2 linked regions of the Kluyveromyces lactis genome follow. The protein of the gene in region 1 purifies or fractionates together with the protein of each later gene. This does not show direct contact. Links are inferred from orthologs where the notes say so. Each region holds a gene or a part of one and is shown in the gene's direction. Other genes may lie near its edges.

Evidence for each region.
Region 2: the proteins of IMG1 (region 1) and ATP25 purify together in Saccharomyces cerevisiae (affinity purification with mass spectrometry, with the first as the bait; 3 studies listed by BioGRID). This does not show direct contact. The link is inferred for Kluyveromyces lactis from reciprocal best matches to the Saccharomyces cerevisiae genes IMG1 and ATP25.

What each region holds. Positions count from the first base shown.
Region 1 is NC_006042.1:571,642-574,298, forward strand, and holds IMG1 (mitochondrial 54S ribosomal protein bL19m), read left to right. Parts: upstream 1-1,367; coding exon 1,368-1,883; downstream 1,884-2,657. Other genes in the region: BUD23 (18S rRNA (guanine1575-N7)-methyltransferase), read left to right, coding at 255-1,058. UniProt on the Saccharomyces cerevisiae protein: Component of the mitochondrial ribosome (mitoribosome), a dedicated translation machinery responsible for the synthesis of mitochondrial genome-encoded proteins, including at least some of the essential transmembrane subunits of the mitochondrial respiratory chain.
Region 2 is NC_006042.1:273,750-277,729, reverse strand, and holds ATP25 (Atp25p), read left to right. Parts: upstream 1-1,700; coding exon 1,701-3,389; downstream 3,390-3,980. Other genes in the region: DNA-binding protein ABF1, read left to right, coding at 1-1,442; KTI12 (Kti12p), read right to left, coding at 3,518-3,980. UniProt on the Saccharomyces cerevisiae protein: mRNA stabilization factor specific for the 0.95 kb OLI1 mRNA. Also involved in OLI1 ring formation.

The sequences.
Region 1 (2,657 bases):
GATAGTAAGGACTTGTAATCTTATATCTACTAGCTTGATACGTTCCCTATTGCACGTGACCACATTCTTTACTACAACCAAGTTTCTTTTCCGAACGTTTGATTCAAAATTTTAAAGCTCATCTCGGTCATCGCCAAACATTTACGAACTAACAATGGCTACTTGAGCAAGCTGTTTGCATTGATATGCTCTGTTAATCAACTGACGGGAATAAAGTATAATAGGATAACAATTACAAGAAGTTTGAGATCGAAATGTCACGTCCAGAAGATTTGGCACCACCAGAAGTGTTTTACAATGACAGTGAATCTAAGAAGTATAGTGGCTCCACAAGAGTGCAACATATTCAAGCTAAAATGACACTTCGGGCCTTAGAACTTCTCAACCTGCCACATACATCATATATCTTGGATATTGGGTGTGGGTCTGGTTTAAGTGGTGAAATCATCACTGAAGAAGGACATATATGGTGTGGATTAGACATTTCTCCTAGTATGTTAGCTGAAGCGCTAGAAAGAGAAGTTGAAGGTGATCTTATGTTACACGATATAGGTCAAGGTATTCCATTTAGAGCAGGTGTATTTGATGCGGCAATTAGTATATCTGTGATTCAATGGTTATGTAATGCGGACACATCGTACAACGATCCAAAGAGAAGGCTCATGAGGTTCTTCAATACACTATTTGCTAGTTTGAAGAAAGGAGGAAAATTTGTAGCACAATTCTATCCAAAGAATGATGATCAAATAGACCAAATCTTGGGAGCAGCAAAAGTAGCTGGATTCTCTGGTGGCCTTGTCATTGATGATCCCGAGTCCAAAAAGAACAAGAAGTACTACTTGGTATTAAGCTCCGGATCTACAGAACAGAATGAACAAGTCAACTTGGATGGTGTTAAGATGGATGCAGATCTAATGGTAAAGAGAGAGCGTAAAAAGAAACTAGTTGAATCAAGTAAGGATTACATCAACAGAAAGAAGGAGGTGATGAAAAAAAGAGGTAGAAAGGTAGCTCTCGACTCGAAGTTTACGGGTAGAAAGAGAAGACCTAGGTTTTAGTATGGTCTTGCATATATAGAATTAGTAGATACGCACTTAATACAATCAGCAAACATGGACTGAAACGTTATCATTCATTCACCATTTTCCGTGTCTATTGCATCTGCCATGATCAAAACGTTTAAAATGATCATCAAACCTATGTTGTAGTTTTCCATAGAAAGAACATTCGAAAATTTTGGTTAAAAAAGATGGAAACATAAGTACCTAAGAGTTAAGAAAGCACTGAAGCGCAGTTTATATTTGAGTTTAAGCCTTTACTACCCGTCAGATCAAGTTCCCATTCCAAAACTATATTAGTCCCATACAATGTTAAAGAGACTACTACCTACCGTTATCAGACAATCTGTTAGAAGTTATCAACTTCCAGCTAAGAGTGGAAGAAAGATTATTCCAGTTTACCCACCAGTTGAAAGAATATCCTCCCCATTAGTAGTGAAGACTCTAGCTGATCATGATCTAAAACAACTTGACCCAACTGGTGTAAAAACAGAGATGGTTTCAAAGAAAAACCCAAATCGTCTACGTGCAGGTGATGTTCTTCGTGTAGTTTACGATTCCAAGAAATGCAACTACGATAGTTTTACTGGATATGTGCTATCGGTAGACCGTAAGCCAATAGTACAAGACACATCCATTCTATTAAGAGATTATATTTATAAAACCTGTGTGGAAATGAGAGTGCCAATCTTCTCACCATTGGTAGAGAGAATTGATTTGATTAGAAGAGCGGATGGTAAGAGACGCAGAAGTAAACATTATTACATCAGAAACACCAGATTGGATGTCGGAGATTTGGAAGCAAGTATGAGAAAGAAGAAATGAGCACATTCACACTATCAAACACTTGCTGAATTTTCATAAAATGAAACATGTACATAGAAGCAATTCAAACATATAGTAAGTAATGCTCGATATCAATGCAAACCCAAAGACAAGGAAGATTCAAAGTTGAAAGAGCTCCAGAGTTGAACCATAATGCAAGGTACTCTATGCAGGTCCAGCTTCTCTAGGTAAAGTTATTTGTATCATTAGCATGTCGGGTGGATATATAATTGTATAATCTGTAAAATAAAAAGGCGGATTATGCTAGTCCTTATACCTCATCAAGTGCATCCAATAAGAAAGGAAAATCATGAGAAAGGATAAGCATAAGAAAGGATTTGTACGCTCTATCTAAAACAAAGCTGCATTGAGTGAGCAAGTTGCTCTATTAGAAATGAAAAGATTACAAGCAATTTTGGTCCGCATTTTTGATAATTTATGAAGGTTCTTGATTGGTTCAAAAAAGTAGTGGTATAATGTTATGAAAGCCGTACCAGCCGTCTCTATTGAAAAAAAATTGAAATAAGCTGACATTAAAAAACAACCATAACAGGTAAGGCAGCACGCCCGCATTTTTGATCTCGTGGATGGTTGCGCCACGATGCAATGAAACTGTTACAATAATCAATGATAAAAAATAGATCTTCTTTTATTAACTTGTCATGACATAGAATAATGTGAGACAAAATAACTCACCATGAAAGGTAGATTTGGTACGTTAGATCTGCTTCATTTCATTTCGTACAAGGCAGTGCTGTAAAAAAAAAACAGTTA
Region 2 (3,980 bases), about 300 kb from region 1:
TGGCTGCGCCAGATCCTGTGAGTGCGCAGAAACGGTCTTTCCCCACGTTAGAGGCGTGGTACGATGTAATTAACGATTATGAGTTTCAATCGAGATGTCCTATTATTTTGAAGAATTCACATAAGAATAAACATTTCACTTTCGCGTGCCATTTGAAAAGTTGTCCGTTCAAGATTTTGTTGTCGTATCAGGGCGCCAACAATTCTGGTTCGTCTGAGGATGGTTCTCCGCATGGTTTAAGTGGCGATGGTGGTTCTTCGTCGTCTGGTTCGAATCACCATAATGGTCATACGAATTTGGCCGAAGATGGTAGAGCGGAGGATGAGGACGATGATGAGGATGATGATGCGGCTGTGACTGCTGCTATCGCAGCGGCAGTTGCAGCAGTTGCAGACTCTCAGGAGACTATCAAGGGTCCCTTCGTGGTAACCAAGATTGAACCTTATCATAACCATCCGTTGGAATCAAACCTTTCTTTGCAACGGTTTGTCTTGAGTAAAATTCCAAAGATTTTACAAGTTGATCTCAAATTCGACGCTATTCTAGAGTCGTTGTGTAACGATGACGATAATACAGTGGCAAAGTTTAGAGTGGCACAGTACGTGGAAGAATCCGGGATTCTCGATATCATCAAGCAACGGTACGGGTTGACCGAAGCTGAAATGGATAAGAAAATGTTAAGTAACATCGCTAGACGTGTTACCACGTATAAGGCCAGATTCGTCTTGAAAAGAAAGAAGGATGGCGTATACGCAATGCCCACCGCTCATCAATTGACTGGCGGTGACCACCATCAAGTACAACACCATCATCATCCATCGATACCAGCTCACCACCAACACCAACTACCCGAAGGTCAACAACGCGACGTTCAGCATCATCACCAACAGCAACAGCAACAACTACAACACCAGGAACAACACCAATCACATGTTGATAGTGGACATAATGTATATCAGAACAGAATTGGTTCGATCAGTGATAATGATGATTCCGCTATACATAATCTGGATGACACTAACGTACGTGTCGCAGCTGCTGCAGCTGCCGCTGCAGCGGCTCTGCAGTCTAGAGAAAACCACGATACCGAGGATCTGAAACGTACGCTAGAACAAGTGCAAGACGATGAAAGTTTAGACGTCGGTGTACCCGATTCCAAGAGACAGCTCCACAGAAGAGAAAGAGACAGAGTCGCGGAAGCTCTTAAAATGGCTACCAGAGATATCCTGTCAAATCAAAGTGTTGATTCTGACGTGAACGTCGATGTCGATTTAGTCACTGGCCATAAACAATTATCACCTCATGACGACATGGCGGAGCAGCTAAGGTTGTTGTCATCTCATTTGAAGGAAGTTGAAGCCGAGGAAAATGTCTCCGATAATAATCTCAAGAAAGACGATATTCCTGATGAAAATATTCAGCCGGAACTAAGAGGACAATAACCAACAAATTTAATACACCCTCATGACACATTCCTCTCTTTTCATATTTACTGAAAAATTGTAAAATTGTAACTATATATAATATTATCTTATGTGTAACTTTTATGATGGAAAAAAAAAATATATGAACATTAACTGGTTCCTATTCAACGATCTGCAGAAGCTCCACAATTATAATAAAAATTCAGGAACATACATTTAACCAGTTACCTGGATTCATACGGTTTCGAGAAGTTGAGCTTGTCTATTAGTTTAACCATGCATAGATCCTACGCAGTACTTCTTCGCAACAATGTGGCTCGTCTTTGTTATAGACCGGGTTCTACCTTATTCATTCGAAATTTTACCACCAGACACTCCTTAAGACAGAGCAAGCCGTGGTATTTGGACATATCAGAGAATAAGGAGGAAGATTCAAATTCTCCTTTCATTAAACCCATACGGTTTCCTCCTACAGAAATTCCTGCTTCACTAGAAACCATTTCAAAATATCTAAATGATAAGTTGGCAGTAACGGACATTGTGGTTTTCGACACTGCCCACTCCAGTTCTGCCACTTCAATTCAAAGCATGGCTAGCTATGTTTTAATTGGTACTGTGAAATCATTTAGACACCTTCAAAACTGTAATGATGAGCTAATAAAGTTTATTAAAGAAACGTTTGATGAAGTACCCAAATCGGAAGGTTTGGTCACCAGTGGTATACTAAGAAAGAGACAAAGGCGTCTAGGCAGGAAAACTAATTTGGGCAAAATAGCCAAGATAGAGAATGATGAAAGTGGCTGGTGTTTGATAGATTCTAACGTTGATGGGCTGTTTATCAATATAATGACTGAGGAAAGAAGAGATGATTTGAATTTGGAGGAGTTGTATTGTCGTGTTGAGGAGCTTGACCAGTACAAGAAGCAAATCAATTTAAACCCACCAGCGGAAGAAGAGGATGATGTTTTACTTGGATTAAGAAAGTTGATGATGAAAAATACGAAAAGATACTATTCTACCGTGGGAGAATCTCCGAAACCAACGTTCTTGGAAGCTCTTACAATCCAGGACCTAGATTCCGCTTCAAAACTGATAAAAGAAGAAAAAAAGCCTTACCATGTTATAGCATCTGCTCTCGGACGTTTACCAAACCATATAGAACTTGATGCCGAAAATTGGATAAAGCTATTTAATGAAGCCACACCAACCGAAGGTCCGTTAGACTATGAGTACTGGGGTGCAAGGTTCAAGTTTTTCCAGTTACTTTACATTTCCAAAAGAAATAACATAGAAGAAAATACTCAGTTAGATGCCAGTACAATCAAAGAGTTTAACAGAGAACTAAACTATTTCATCAATGATTTTTTTAGGTTTAAGCAATTGGCATTATGTCAGCCGACAAGAGAGGAGTTAATTGGCTTTCTTGAAATTTGCATTCAACATCTCAAACTTTCGAAAAGCTATAACCAGCTGATAAGTGTGAATATGTGGATTCTCAAGGCCTTACAGTCATATCAATATAGTGATCCTAAGGTTGTCCATGATCCCAGGGTCATCAAACTTTTAGTTAAGTCAATGCATACCGAAAACACTAACCTTAACTCACTTTACGAGTATGTCAATCTCATCACAAATGAATTTGAGGTAAGATCATTAACAAATGACGTGATAAAAGAAATAATAACGACTTTGGTAGAAAGTGAAAACTGGCCGACTTTGTTTAAATTTTGGAAACAATGCTTGTGTGAGAGTGCTGTCGATAGTAACGTATGGGATTTCTTCATAAAATCATTATTAAACAAGAATGACAAAGTCATTTTATCAGATATAGTGGATAATGGTCATTTGTTATGGATTCATAGAAGTAAATTGGTGATAAGTGATGACTTAAAAGCGTCACTATCGAAGTTACTTGACCGGGTGGATGGTAGTCATACCAATATTAAGAAGCTACTAAAGCTGTAAATAGTTTATAGACAGATATGATATTATTCTGGAAGGAAATTTCCTTCATTATTTTAATGTGAGATAAGTGTTCATGTGAAAGATTATGTCGATCAAAGCGCTTTAAGTGTTGCCATGAGTTGAAGAATTCAGACATTCAAATGTTTGTTCAAATATTCAACGAATAACGGTTTTACTCTATCTTGCTCTAAGTTTCTTAATCTATTCATTGCAACAAATTGACGTTTTATTCTTTGTAATTGAGGCATGGAGCAATTTTGTAGTGAGAGATCGACATAAAGACAGTTTGGATCGTTTAAATCAGTATTCTCAGGAGTAAGAATTATTCTTGAAGTGCCACCACTGACCACATTTTGCTGCATATATTTCATTATAATCTTTATGACACTACTGGCCTCGGAGTCAAGTATTTGCAAAGAGTTAGTGTGAGAGGCAGCCTTCAATATCGTGGCATTGTTTGGCTTTAATTGTTGCAGGATCTTCTCAGTATCTCTATCATTCGTTGCCGGTTTGAACACGGTTGGGAATATTGCCTTACTAATATCTGTGTATAGGGTACTGATGTCATCTTGAGACGTCAATATAGTGAAT